4 linked regions of the Macaca mulatta genome follow. The main gene of each other region encodes a partner of the protein of the gene in region 3 in a complex. Links are inferred from orthologs where the notes say so. Each region holds a gene or a part of one and is shown on either strand. Other genes may lie near its edges.

Region 1 (2,732 bases), on a different chromosome or scaffold from region 3:
TGGGCGACAGAGTAGTAAGACTCTGTCTCAAATTAATAAATAAAATAAAAATAAAATAGTTACTCATAGGGAGGCAGTGGAAATGGAGAAAAGGGGGAGATTACACTTTTTTTTTAATTGTGTCACTTCATTTAATGAGCACATGTCAATTTGGTAACTAAAAATAATAAAACCTTAAAAAAAAATAGAACAATAGGCTGGGCGTGGTGGCTCATCCCAGCACTTTTGGAGGCCGAGGTGGGCAGATCATCTGAGGTCAGGAGTTCCAGACCAGCCTAACATAGTGAAACTCCATCTCTACTAAAAAATACAAAATTAGCCGGGTGTGGTGGTGCATGCCTATAATCCCAGCTACTCAGGAGGCTGAGACAGGAGAATCGTTTGAACCTGGGAGGCGGAGGTTGCAGTGAGCTGAGATCGTGCCCACTGCACTCCAGCCTGGGTGACAGACAGAGCGAGACTCCATCTCGGGAGGCAGGAGGAGGAGGGGACGAAAAAAGAACGATAAAGATTTTTTTTTTAATTTGATGGAAAAAAAGAGCGATAAAGATTTTTTAAAACAATTGGATGGAATCCTGTTTTTAGAATCTAATCCGTAAAATAAATGACATAAATGGATTTGAAATGATACCATAAATTAAGGGTGTAAACACAATATATATCTCTATAAATGCCTTTTAACATGAAAAGATGGCTACAGTCACATGCAATTAAAGAAATGAAATTTAAAAGAATAATTACAAAAATAATATTCAGAATTCTGAAAGCAAATTAATACAATTATTTAAGAGGGCAATATGGCACTTCCTATTTTAAGAAGTAAACTTTGGCCGGGCGCAGTGGCTCAAGCCTGTAATCTCAGCACTTTGGGAGGCTGAGACGGGCGGATCACAAGGTCAGGAGATCGAGACCATCCTCGCTAACACGGTGAAACCCCGTCTCTACTAAAAAATACAAAAAATTAGCCGGGTGTGGTGGCGGGCGCCTGTAGTCCCAGCTACTTGGGAGGCTGAGGCAGGAGAATCTCTTGAACCCGGGAGACGGAGGTTTCAGTGAGCCAAGATTGTACTACTGCACTCCAGCCTGGGCAACAAGAGTAGTCTCAAAGAAAAAAAAAAAAAAAAAAGAATCATAGGCCGGGCGGGGTGGCTCATGCCTGTAATCCCAGCACTTTGAGAGGCCAAGGTGGGTGGATCACCTGAGGTCAGGAGTTCAAGACCAGCCTGGCTAACGTGGTGAAACCCCCATCTCTACTAAAAATACAAGAAAATTAGCCTGGTGTGGTGGCATGCGCCTGTAATCCCAGCTACTCAGGAGGCTGAGGCAGGAGGATCACTTGAACCTGGGAAGTGGAGGTTGCGGTGAGCTGAGATAGTACCACTGCACTCCAGCCTGGGTAACAAAGCAAGATCCCGTCTAAAAAAAAAAGTCATAGTTCATTAATCCAGGTACACAAATACTTCTATCCCAATCCAGTCTGCTTGTGTTTCTCTAGACTTCCCATGTCCTCAAGACAAAAGCAGAGAGAACCAGGGGACATGTCCTTGCCGTGGGGTTCTGAGGGAAAATGAGGGCCAAATCTTCTGTTCAGGAGCACCTGAGAGTACCATTCACCAGGGATGGATTATGCAACGACCCTGTACTTCCTCCTCTGAAATCCATGGTGTGTCATCAGTACACTTCTTTAGCGGATTTACTAATACGTTCGTTCCTAACTTAGCTCTGCTACAATCGGGGAGGCTCCATGGGCACAGTAACTATTTTGTTATTCGTTGCATTTCCTGTAGCAGCTGGCACCCAGGCGGCATTCCGTGACTGTTGAGTATGTGAATGCAAGATACAAGGCCAGAAGCTGGAAGAGAGATGCAGTGTTGGGCATTCAGTCAGGCCCCTGACCACCCACTGGACAGATAGTCAGAGGAGCTGTGTTCTTCCCTCCATCATGTGTCCCAGGGCTGAAGATAGGTTGAAGGGGCTCAGAGAAACAGCAGCTGGTGAATGTATAGATGCAGGATCTGGCTGTCACGTTGTAAAAGGAAATGCTTCCAACTCTGTAGTCCACAAAGATGCCCACACGCTTGGGAGGCACCTTTATTAGCAGGCGGGTTGGGGGAACACTGGATGCCTGGTACTCATTTTCCTTCATCATTATCACCACCCAGTAGCCATTCTCTGGTGACAGAGTCATGTTCCCTTTCCTGCTTATGGATGCCTTGCAGGCTCCTAGGATCCACGCTGTCTTGTCTCCGACCTCCACCTCCCAGTAATGATGGCCGGAGAGGAAGCTCGGAGAGCCCAGAACAACGATGCAGCTGTCAAATCTTTGCGGGCCATCAGGCAGCCTCTCCCGCTTGTTTCCAAGTCTAACACTCTTCAGATCATCAGAGACGATGAGGTTGGGGTAAGCGGTTTCTGCATCCAGAATCACATTAACTGCAAAGAAAATTTGAATACCTAGCTAGGGGTCCGTAGGCAACATCCCTACAGGGTTATCCCCACCTGCAGGAAAACAGGGACAGGGCAGTTATTCTCGAACGTGGTGGGGGAGAGCACAGGGATCCAGCAGGTCAGGGCCACTTGCCTTGATCTGGGCACTTACCGGCATGTGCCTGAGCGCCAATCAGCTCTGGAACTACAGAGAAAAATGAGATAGGGAAAAAAGTCCTGAGCATTTGTATTCAGAGGGGCTAAATTACAATGTCCCGACAACAAGGAGACGCAAGGAACCCCCT
Region 2 (3,639 bases), on a different chromosome or scaffold from region 3:
CCCGGCCACCCCACCGTCTGAGAAGTGAAGAGGGCCTCTGCCCGGCCGCCCCACCGTCTGGGAAGTGAAGAGGGCCTCTGCCCGGCCGCCCCACCGTCTGAGAAGTGAAGAGGGCCTCTGCCCGGCCGCCCCACCGTCTGGGAAGTGAGGAGCGCCAGCCGCTGTGGAACCTTCCAAGTGTGAAGTGATAGCCTTGTATGTGATCTTTTCTGTCTTCCCCAAGTTTGCATTTTCGACATTAAAGTTTACTTTTAATTAAAAAGAAAGAAATAAATAAGTCTCCTCAAGCTAACTCTTTCTTCTGTTTTCTTCATTTAATCACAGTTCTTTAATCCTGACTTGCATATTGGTTTTTCAGGTCAATTAATTTGGTTGATTACTCAACTACACTTATTTTGCAATCACAACAATAGTCACTTAAAATAAAGATAATATGGACAAAGTACAAAAATAACGCAGAAATAAAAACTATGTGAACGAACTAATTCCTTTTTCAGAGGCTACTGGGATAAGAATAAGTTGAAACAGGATTGTGACATTTTTGACAATAAAAACAATTTTTGAGTTTTCGTATGAATTTTGGCATGTTAACTCTGCAGCTCTTTAGAACTTTGTATTTTTTTATTTTGTCTGTATAGACATTAACACCTTTTCTAAAGTCTCTTTAAGATCAGATGGAAAATACGTTATTCTTACTAATCAATATGAAATTAGCTATGAAAACTTACCTTCTGGACTACAAACAACCCATTCACAATTGTTCCAAGGGGCTGAGTTTGAAGCGTGTTGATCTTTGGGGTTTCACCAGCTTTTCTGATAATGTTCAGCGGGACATCAACCTTTTGGTCAGATTTAGCATCTAACACACATGAGGCGCTATTTACCTCTAAGAAACCACTGTGCTGATAATATCTTGATATTATAATCATTCTCTTTGGAATGAATTTATCTTTCAGCAGTGTATTAAAAACTTTTACAAAGAAGAATTCCTTCTCTGTAGCCACCGTAGCATGAAACATCTCTTGCTTGCCTTCTTGGGTCTCAAACGTGAAGGGCTTTGTTGCTTTCAGTACCATAACTGGCAAACAGTCTTTCCGAAACTCTTCTCTGATAGATTCCTGCTGGGCCACCCTCTGTTTCTGCTCAGGCTGAAGACAAGAGAAGAAAGATATCAGCTGTGAGTCAAAAAGGTACTATTGAGAGGACCTTCCTTCACCCACAGTGCTAAGCCTCAGGAAGCCACAGAAGACAGGTGGAATCAAGGGAAGAGACACAGAGGGGATAAGAAGAGACTTGAGGCCTAGAATGATCTAGATGGAACAGAGAGTGCAGAAGGAAGATTTCAACTCCTGTATTCAGATAAGACGGTGTAACATGTTTTGGAGGAAGGATCCCTAAAACCAAATCCTTGCTTTGCCATGTGCTATATAAAAAGACTTCATCAGATTTCTGAAATATTGCTAAGCCTCGGGGTAAATCTGATAAATCTGATTCCATCTTCTATGGATTCCATTCGGGCATAATATATCCTTGTTTCTCTATCCAACACTGTCCTAAACATTCATTTTACTCTGGTATAAAAGTGAGAGAGCTCAGTGACCTGCACAGGGTTCCCCAAATTCCTAGGGAGGTATTGTACGTAACAAAATGTAGACTATGTTTAATGTGAGTTAAGGGGGAGACCTAGGTCAGAGATCTTACAAGTGAGTTAAAGGAGAAATTTAAAAGGAGAATTGATACTACATTTGTGGATTTACCCTTAAATAATGAATTATGCACTAAGGTTTACATTTTAAAAATATATCTTATTATTTGAAATTATAAAAAAAGAAATAATTTAAATACATAAAAAATAGAATTTGGTTAAACAAAATATGGTATAGTCACAAATAGATTACTATGCAAATATTAAAAATGCTTTAGAGAAATAATGTGATAAACTGTTATAACTGACTCAATAAAGGGAAAGGTCCTAAACAGATAAAAAATCTCTTTCTTTTTGGATAAATAAGCAGTTAAAGCACACACACAAACACACTACAGAGATATTTACCAACATCAATATTTTTTTCCTAGATGATACAATTATAGGTAATTTTATTCGCTTCTCTGTGTTTTTTATTTTTCTGAATTAACAGAGATAAGATACCTTTTTTGGTTTGTTTTGGGAGAAAATACTACTTTTTAAAAGCAACTTGCCATCTAGAACCAAATGGAAATACAGGGAAAAACAAACAGAGGCATAAAAAGTCAAGTGTAGGAGTCTCGAAGGCTGTCTCCGATGTGACCTGAAGCTTGGGCCAGTGGAGCTGGGGCCAGTAAGGGGCCCTGACGGGCAGTATAACTGACTGCATTTGGATCAATGCAGGTAAAGGTCAGTTCCACTGAGTTCCACTACAAAAGTCCTCTTTGGTCCATGTATCTTTAGTTGAGTCTTCCAGACTGAATGATGCATATTTTCATTACTGGTGATGGAATCACACCATGTATACTTGAACCTTGTTTTCTGAAAAATCCAGAAGTTTCTGGGCCAAACCCAGAGGAAATGGCTCCTCTAGACAAAGAGAATGAAGTATGTGTAATCAGTTTCTAGAGCTCACACAGCTATAAAATGGTGTAACACCTGCTTCACAGGAAATGAAATTGCATGTGTGGTGGATTCTGTGTTGGGCCTTTCCGATATTGCCTGCCGCTCCCTCAGGACTAAAGTAATCATTCTCATCAATGAGACTCTTCAGGCACTACTCTCTCAGCTAAACAGGGCCACCTCACCTTGTCCATGCAGGTGTATAAAGGGCTTTTTTACATTACTTTTAAAAAGCAATTTGCTGTCAAGAACTAAGGGAAAATACAGGGGAAAACAAACAGAGGCATGCCAGGCCGAGTGTAAGAGTCTCTGCAATAGATCTCTGATGTGACCCAGAGCCTGGGTCTGTGCAAACCACAGACTCCCCCACCAGTCTTGGGAGCCCTGAAGGGCATTCTCAGCTCCCGAGCTCCCTGTGGGGTAGGCCAAGGCCTCTATTGCAACTATATTGGACTTGACATTCTTCCTCTTCTACTCCTTTCACTTCCTCACAGATACTAATTCTGAAAGTGCTCTAAAATAGACTTCCTGTAAACAACTGTCTATCTCAGAGTTTTCGTCTTATAGAATCCAAACCATAACAGAGTGTTAATGTGTCCAGGCCCTGACAGAGATTAGAAGCTCAACAGGTGTTTAATCTGATTAATCAGAGGTAGTTCCTGTTTTTGTGACTCAGAGTGCTTTTCACACTGTGGCCTTAATTCCCTTATTTGCATGCTCTGAGATAAAGAACAGAGAACAATGTGGGAAATGACAGTGACAGTGATGCTCTTACAAGGACAAAGACCACTCCACTCTCCTCATCCTACCTTAACATGAGGAGAGACTTTTGGTGCAGCACGTTGCTTTGTGACATCATTTCTGACGGCTGCAGGTGCAGCAGGACTCATTTCAGGTTGACTTAGTGGCTTTGGTTTTGTTACCGATTTGTATTCCTTATCAACTGATTAAAAAATGGAAGACATGGCCAATAAGCATATAAACATATGAGCAGTGCACATTTTCAAATGTCACCAGAAATAAATACTAAAACCATATTAAGATATCTTCAA
Region 3 (3,639 bases):
TCAGCACATCAGAGCTAAACATAAGCCATCAGTCAAAAGACAGTCTCGGCCAGGTGCAGTGGCTCACACCTATAATCCCAGCACCTTGGGAGGCCAAGGCGAGTGGATCACCTGAGGTCAGGAGTTTGAGACCAGCCTGACCAACATGGTAAAACCCATCTCTACTGAATACAATTAACTGGGTGTGGGTGTGGTGCACATGCCTATAATCCCAGCTACTTGGCAGACTGAGGCAGGGGAATTGCTTGAACCTGGGAGGCAGAGGTTGTGGTGAGCCAAGATCATGGTATTGTACTCCAGCCTGGGCAACAGAGTGAGACTCTGTCTAAAACAAAAAAAGTCAGTCTAGCATTAGGAATAGAACAAACAAAAACGGAAATGCAATTGTTGATTTGGAAGCACTTTGGCAAGACTAATACAGTGTGTTGGTTCTGTGAAAAAGTTCTGATCCTTTGGAAATGTGGAATGTTGATTTAAAAAATGACTGTAAAGCGAGTGTCAAGGCACTGAAGCAGGACAGAAGGGAGTCTCTCAGGAGAAATGACTTCTGCAGTGGGGTCTCCTACTTTTACTCATTTAGCATAAAACATAAGAACAGGAATAGAAAAAGCAGGACACACAGACTCGAATGCCTACCAGAGACTAGTCAATCATGGGCCAGTTATAAGAAAATGAACTGCCAGAAATAGAAGCAAGTGTTATTTTAATAGAAATGTTTTAATTTTAAAATAATACAAATCAAGGGCTCGAAATGTTTTTTTCAACACCAAGCACATAATGACGAATGATGTCATCAATGCACTTAATCTCTGTGCCTTTTTAAAGGCTTAGATTTGCTTAAATAAACAAATCAAATGTTAACATGGGCCAGGTGTAGTGGTTCACACCTGTAATCCCAGCACTTTGGGAGGCCGAGGCAGGAGGATCACTTGAGGTCAGGAGTTCAAGACCAGCCTGGCCAATATGGCAAAACCCCATCTCTACCAAAAATACAAAAATTAGCCGGGTATGGTGCTGTGTGCCTGTAGTCCCAGCTACTTGGGAGGCTGAGGCAGGAGAATCACTTGAATTGGGGAAGTGGAGGCTGCAGTGAGCCGAGATAGCACCACTGCACTCCAGCCTGGGCAACAGAGTGAGACTCTGTCTCAAAAAAAAAAAAAAAAAAAAAAAAAATGTTACTAGGGACCATTACAGAGTCCTGATGATTATAATCAGTCTACATTAATTTTCTAAACTTACCTCCATTTACAAAACAAATCAATAATTGATATTATGCCTGATGAACACTATTTTCAAAAGTTCTTTGATCAAATCAAAATTATTAATATCTCAATGGTGATGGATGATTTTTATTTTTTGTTGTTGTAGTCACTTTTTATATTCACATACTACAAATTGTTTTTTTCATTTAACTTGTAGCTTCTTGATCTTAGCTTAAATAGGCTGAGTAAAAGAACTGCTAACCAGTTTAATATTTAATACTTGAAAATGCTGTTTCTGTTAAGAACCCACAATTTCTGCTGCACTTAACAGCCCAACCTGTAAAAATGCAGCCTCTATAAGAGCTTTGATACCACGGCAGTTCCATCGCTTAATGCATTCCACAGAAGCACTATGCAGTTAGCTGAATTAAAAACAAAGCTTATTACTGCTTTTCATTGTGTCTTTTAGTAAGATTTGATATTTCATATTTATACATACATTGCTTCTATTTAAAAGATTAATTTTTTAAAAAGCAGGAAACCGACAAATGTATAAGAATGTTCTTTACCTCCACAGGGAAATATGTTTAAATCCATTTTCTTGAAACATGACTCTTTTGGTATAGCTTTTGTTCTCTGCCTTTTGATTTAAAAAAAAAATAGGCATAAGAAATATTTCACTTTTCTCTTTTGGGTTCTACTGTACCTGCATCCAAGTGTGTTCCATTCCTGTCCCTAATGCTGTGAAGTTTGGGCACTTTCTCCCGTGCTTTCGTAAAATCGTAATTGTTGATGATCAGACAGTATCCCCGAGGTTTGCTTTTCATTTGGTAAACTTTGTCCAAAGTCTGGAAAACAAAAACCCAACCCAGGAGCTGACTCTGTGGGTCAAACACTAGAGATGTAAACAAACAACTCCCTAGTAAGAGGACTTGCTTTCCATTGCACCACCCCAACTTGGGGTCGTTTCCTTGAAGAACTAGTTTCTACCTATTTCCTTCACACAGGACCCCTCAGACTTCTGCCCCATCACTGTAAAGTCAGTTTCCCAATACCTGGGCCTCCTGAGCACTTTGCACATATGTTAATATTGTTGTCATCATATTGTATTATTGTTTGTTCTCATTTCTGCTTCCCATACTATACAGAAAACTCCTTGAGGTCGATAACATCTGTGCCAGGGACTACGGTGTATTAACTTACGAGAGCTCAATCAAGAGTTACTCAATGAATGTCTTTGGTTGCCCCCACGCCATAACCTTGTGATTCTCTTGGCTGTCTACTGAACTCATCTGTGCTTCGTGGCTAACAGTCGAGGGTCTCCCATTCATGCATTGCACAGTGTGGTCCCAGGATTTTAAAGGTGATGGCTTAACCCAGCTCTCAGGACCACGGTGGCTGCTGGGAAGAGACAGGCTGGTCAGGCAGGTCCTGGCTACACTGTAGGTTATGGTATCCAAATTGTAGTATCTGACAGTACCTGCCAGGGATGGCCCTGTGTCCTATTCATTCTCCTAGGGCTGTTTCAGTGCTGAGATACTCAGCATTTAGTTGGAGGTTCACGTAGCCCCTTGAGGTAGAGAAAAGGGCTCCAGGCTAGGAAGCCCAGTTCCTGCCTCTACTTCACCTTATGACTTTGGGCAAGTAACCTGTTATTTTAATACATTAACTCTAAGATATTAAATATTTGATTAAGTTTGTACCAAATGTGTTAAGTTTGTATTATTTACTATTAAGTGTGCTAAGTATTTATTAAGCATATTAAGTGTATTTACTGAGATATTAAGACACTAAGATTTGACCAGGCATGGTGGCTAGAACCTATAATCCCAGACTTTGGGAGGCCAAGGCAGGAGACCTGCTTGAGGCCAGGAGTTCGAGACCTGGCTTGGCAACGTAGCAAGACCCCTGTCTCAATAAAACATTAAAAAAGGAAAAAGATACTAAGATTTACTAAGATACTAAGACAGTGTTTTTAGCTGTTCAGTGGGGACAATGCTTGCAGCATGCTATATTGCTTAGAAAGTACCACATTACTTGGGTTAATCCTTGACTTTCAGATGAAAGAGGTCTGGTAATTTTCTCAGAAGCCCATACCAGGCTCTCCCAAGCCTACTTCAGATATTCAGGATTTCCTCTTCTTCTTACCATGAGGACGAGCAAATGGGCTAATAAGTCGGGATGTATTTGGTGGATGGTTGGTTACATAAAGAGAAGTTATGATGCCTAAAAAGTACATGTTTCTGCTGGTTCACTGAGATGAAAACACAAAGATGGCTAGGTTATGAGAGTTTGCTGCTTACACCTAATCACAAAGGAGAAGCATTTTTGAAATGTTAAGTCAAACGAAAAGGCTTTGCTTTTTCCATTCCTGCTAGACTCTCCAAACCACTCCCCCATCCAGGCTGGCACGGCTGCTAGAAGATTTGGTAGGAGG
Region 4 (4,400 bases), on a different chromosome or scaffold from region 3:
GTTCCAGTTGATGTGGGGCTGGGCATCTGGTTTCTGAAAGTTGAGGTCTCTGGAGTCTGGGGAGGTTGGGCCACTGAATCTGAAGATGTCCCTGCTGTCCTGGCTTGCAGAACCTGCTCCTCTTGTGCCCTGCTCCTCTTGGTAAGGCTCGGGTATTTTTCAGGAACAGAGCTGGGAGACCCCTCTAGATTCAGTTTGTTTAGCAGCTCAGAAACCATGACATCATTACGAGAGTGTTGGTTTCCTGTGGTTCTCCTAAAGCCATCCATTTCTGTCCCTCCTTGGCCTGACTCGGGGGTAGAAAATCTCGGATTGCTGCTCCTGAGCTCAGATAGGAAATTCTTTACCTGCAGGGATGGGAGGAGTTTGCTGGGTATGACTTGGATGAGCCAGAGTAAACCCAAGGGAGTAGTCTCTTGGAACTCAGGGGTGGGCTGGGGAGGGTGAGGACAAAGGTCAAGGCATAAAAAAGCTGTGGTTAATGGTGAGTCATTGGATGGCCAGGTAGCCATGTTGTGCCATCCCTGACCAGCTCCTGGAGAGGGGTGATGTTGGCGCTCACTGTGGAGACAGCAGCATTTATATTGTTCTCCACCATCTGGAAGGCTTCATCAGTTTTTGGTAGGCATTCTAGAGGGACAGCAGAGTGGGTTGCAGGTGAGCAAATCTTCTTTTCCTGAGGAAAGCCCCATGCTGACAGACCCAAGCTTACCCCAGATCCAGCTAATTGGCCAGCTCACCCTGGAAGGAGGGTCTGTCCTTGGGCTCACTGCTCCAGCAGAGCTGCATTAGCTCCTTCAGTCCTTCTAAGCCGGGAGTCTCAGGCCCAGCTTGGGGCAGCTCAGTCAATGAGGGCCGGGTCTGCCTCCTGCACACTGCTCCACACACCAGTGATGCTTCTGTTGGCACTGGAGTAGGGGAGGAGGGTGAGAAGAGAAGGCATTCAGGGTAAAAGGGAATATCTGCTCCATCATGGAAAGAGGCAGGGAGTGTAATGTGGGAGCACAAGGATGGAGGAGGGCAGTCTTAGTAGGTGAGCAGGAAGGGGAAGCTTTGGGGCTTTCAAGAGAAGGGCACCTGGGGTTAAGGATCCCAGAATCCGCCTAGAGTCTTACACTCAGCTTCTCTTCCAGCAAGCACTGCCCACATTAGGATCCCGAAGCTGCAGGAGACACAAAGCTGAGGACCAGTCCAATCACTGGCAAGACTCCTTTCCTATACATCACCCCCTGGGAGGGCCCAGAGAAGTGTAGGAATCCCGGCTGTGTGTTTGGGCTGGGATCCTTACCTGTAGACATCACTGGCTGTGGAGGCCTTCCGGTTTACATTAACAAACAGTTCTGGGGCCAAGTAGCCCAGGGTGCCCCCTGGCTCCCTGGATGCTGTCCCTGACTGTGAGCCTCCCTGAAATGTGGACAGGCCAAAATCTGCCAGCTGCAAAGGAAGGAAAGAAGTGGGAGGTAGGGAAGACAAGGGGGCCAGGCAGCCTCCAGAAACCCCCTTGCCCCCAGAAGGTTCAGGTTCAGCTTTGTAAAGGGAGTGTGGAGGTCAAGGGAAGAGGCTCCCTTGGATAGTAGATCTAGGTGCCTGTGGTAGGGCTGGGTCAAGGTGTGAGTCTCCAGGGCTGGGTCAGCCATGACTCTTTGGAGGGGTTGGTGGGGCAGCTGGTGGAAATGACTCGTGTGGGTCGGGGCCTCTATCACCTGGTATGGCAGGAGCTAAAACTCCTGGCTGGGCTTTGTGCCCTGGCAGCCCTGTGTCCAGAGGGAGAGGCTACGCCTATTCAATAGACAGGGCTCTGGAGGTCTGGTGTCCAGTGGGCCTGGCTGGAGCTGCTCTGGGGTGGGACCTTGTCCTGAGGCTGAGAGGGGTGTAGAGCAGCTGACCTTGACGTGCAGCTCTGGGTCCAGCAGGACATTGGATGGCTTGAGGTCCCGGTGCAGGAGCACCGGGTTCTGGTTGTGCAGGTAAAACATCCCAAGCACCACTTCTTTCAGCAGGCGGCAAAGCAGCGGCCAGGGCCTAGGGCACTCGGGCTGCAGCAGCCGGGACAGGGAGCCGTTCTCCATGAATTTAGTCACCAGAGCCGGCTTGGGCACGTGGTCCCAGTTCACCTTCTCGATGACCCCTTCTAGGCGCAGCACGAATTCGTTATCCAGACTTGCCATGGCCTTGACTTCCCTGGATATCGCCTTCCTACACTCCAGGAGAGAGCTGGAGTCACCCGGGGTCGTGGGAAAAATCCCTCCATTCCCCATTCAGGCCCCAGAGCACAGTGGCTCCACCTTTTTGGCCAGATTGCGGCCGGGGGGGCAACAGGGGTCACTCACGAGTTTACAATCTTGACCGCCACATCGTAGCCCCACTTCCTATATCGCGCCCGGAACACTGTGCCGAACCCGCCTCTGCCGACGAACTCCTGGTTTTCCAGTTCCTCGATGGACACCAAGGAGGCGGAGGCACCACTGGGCCTGAGACAGGGGTGTCGCCCACTAGCCGGCAGTGCCCTACGCCAGCGCTGCTCCCCGCGCCCCTGTGACTCGGCGCTCTTACTGCAATCCCCGGCCTCTCTCGCCGGCCCCCACCGTCTCCAGACTCAAAGGCGTTCTCTGAGCGAGTCCGTGGGGCGCTCTGGGTGTGAATGTCGGAGGCTGCGATCGACATGCCACTCCCTACTCACCATAACTTGACGCACGACATCAGGCTGGAAGGTGCGAGGGGGCCTCTGGAGATTGCGAGCAGTAGGAGATGGAATGACTTCTGGGGCTGCGGTCTTTGGCAGAGAGGGGAAGGGATCTGTCTCTGCAGGGATCAGTCTCTAGACCAGGACGGTGACTCCACTTTCCGGGTTGCTACCCGTATTCTGAGTTGACTGAACAACTTCCCTTACAGGCGCCTCTACAGTCCCGCCCCTGGGGTGGGGCAGGGGGCAAAGTGAAAGCTAGTGTCTTTCTCCCTGACTAGCGTTTCCTGAGTGCCTGCCGCATGCAGCGGCCAGGTTAGGTGTGGCAATGGGTCCTCACCTTCCAGGAACCCACAATCAACCCACTCCTACAGTCAAAGCCTTCTCTTTTCCCACAGGATTTCCTGCTCCACCACCTGCCAGGCCATGAGTGGAGATGGTGCTTAGGCAGGTTTTATGGTTTTGGGGCTCAGCTCTCTCATAGCTGCCCTAAGATCATAGCCAATGCATATATAAAACTTATCATGCACCAGGTACATAGATTAGCTTATTTAATTCTCACACGAACCCTAAGGGGATAGGTACTGCTTTTATTACCTTTCTATAGATGAGGAAACTGAGACACTGAGAGTTTAAGTACCTTGCCTAAGCCCATATGGAAATAATGGCTCTGAACCATCAAGTTATCCTGTTTTCACATCATAGGTTTCAGGGCTGTTTTCACATAGGTTTCACCTGTTTTCACACAGGTTGCAGGACCACTCAGCTGGTCCTGCAGGAGGCTGGGAAAGTTGTGAAGCATCCAACGATGTAGTGAAGGATCCCTATTTGTATTCCTTGGGACTTATATGTTCATAGGGACTTACATGCCCTATGAACAGGAGCTCCTTGAGCTGGCAGACCCCAAACCCACTCCAAGGGCATTGTGGTAAGGCTAGATATACCAGCCCATCCAGCAAGTTGGTGACATTGTGGTGTACACTGCAGTGGAAACAATTCAGAGCTTTCCTGCCCTCTCCTTTGCATGACAACTCTTGCATGCAAATACCCTAATTAATGTTCCTGACAAGCACATGCTCTGGACACAGGCTTTTGATAACCCAGAAGCATGGAGAGTCTTAAAGATTTAGGGCAGAAAAAAGGTGTCCATATTTTACCTTTTGGAGGTCTGACCATGACTGGAGGTTGTGGGAACCCGATAGGGCCAGCCCTAGGCACTCAGTCCTTCACAGGGATACTCAACCCTGTGGGTTGTGTGTTGGCTTTCACTAAAAGGTGCTCACCTTGGTACTTGCTTTCCATTTTGTCCAGTGGTCCATGGGCTCTTCTGGTTGAGGCAGAAGTGATCAGCAGTTTTTTCTAGAACAACTCCTGGAGAGCTACACCATGGCTTCTGGTAGGGTCAGCTCATGCTATTTTGGAGCTATTTAGGGAATTGTTCAACTGTAGTCTCTTTAAAAGCCAATACATGGCAGATACCCAATAAATATTTGTTGAATTGAATGAATAAATGAACAACCAAAAATATTAAGCCTCTTTTAAGGCACTGATCATCCTAGATGGAGCTCCATACTCAGTAGGAGGAAAGAGGAGATCGGGTTCCTATAGGGACTGAGGGCTCTCACCTGCACAGTTCATGAAATCCGTCTGAAGTAGGCTTTAGTATAGAGATATGGTGGTATCACACAGAATCCAAGAAGGCAAGAAGTGTAGCAGG

The links.
Region 1: CASP8 (region 3) and MEFV share a complex: the UniProt entries of both Homo sapiens proteins name them as parts of the AIM2 PANoptosome complex. The link is inferred for Macaca mulatta from reciprocal best matches to the Homo sapiens genes CASP8 and MEFV.
Region 2: CASP8 (region 3) and AIM2 share a complex: the UniProt entries of both Homo sapiens proteins name them as parts of the AIM2 PANoptosome complex. The link is inferred for Macaca mulatta from reciprocal best matches to the Homo sapiens genes CASP8 and AIM2.
Region 4: CASP8 (region 3) and RIPK3 share a complex: the UniProt entries of both Homo sapiens proteins name them as parts of the AIM2 PANoptosome complex. The link is inferred for Macaca mulatta from reciprocal best matches to the Homo sapiens genes CASP8 and RIPK3.

What each region holds. Positions count from the first base shown.
Region 1 is NC_133425.1:4,477,516-4,480,247, forward strand, and holds the end of MEFV (pyrin), read right to left. Parts: intron 2,633-2,732; coding exon 2,600-2,632; intron 2,459-2,599; coding exon of another isoform or gene 2,434-2,458; coding exon 1,880-2,433; 3' UTR 638-1,879; downstream 1-637. UniProt on the Homo sapiens protein: Involved in the regulation of innate immunity and the inflammatory response in response to IFNG/IFN-gamma.
Region 2 is NC_133406.1:107,858,285-107,861,923, reverse strand, and holds part of AIM2 (interferon-inducible protein AIM2), read right to left. Parts: intron 3,531-3,639; coding exon 3,397-3,530; intron 1,149-3,396; coding exon 729-1,148; intron 293-728; exon of another isoform or gene 1-292. UniProt on the Homo sapiens protein: Sensor component of the AIM2 inflammasome, which mediates inflammasome activation in response to the presence of double-stranded DNA (dsDNA) in the cytosol, leading to subsequent pyroptosis.
Region 3 is NC_133417.1:106,389,796-106,393,434, reverse strand, and holds part of CASP8 (caspase-8), read right to left. Parts: intron 2,051-3,639; coding exon 1,909-2,050; intron 1-1,908. UniProt on the Homo sapiens protein: Thiol protease that plays a key role in programmed cell death by acting as a molecular switch for apoptosis, necroptosis and pyroptosis, and is required to prevent tissue damage during embryonic development and adulthood.
Region 4 is NC_133412.1:97,456,237-97,460,636, forward strand, and holds the start of RIPK3 (receptor-interacting serine/threonine-protein kinase 3), read right to left. Parts: upstream 2,920-4,400; 5' UTR 2,701-2,919; coding exon 2,681-2,700; intron 2,472-2,680; coding exon 2,331-2,471; intron 2,197-2,330; coding exon 1,887-2,196; intron 1,435-1,886; coding exon 1,289-1,434; intron 1,163-1,288; coding exon 1,116-1,162; intron 909-1,115; coding exon 741-908; intron 631-740; coding exon 563-630; intron 348-562; coding exon 1-347. UniProt on the Homo sapiens protein: Serine/threonine-protein kinase that activates necroptosis and apoptosis, two parallel forms of cell death. Necroptosis, a programmed cell death process in response to death-inducing TNF-alpha family members, is triggered by RIPK3 following activation by ZBP1.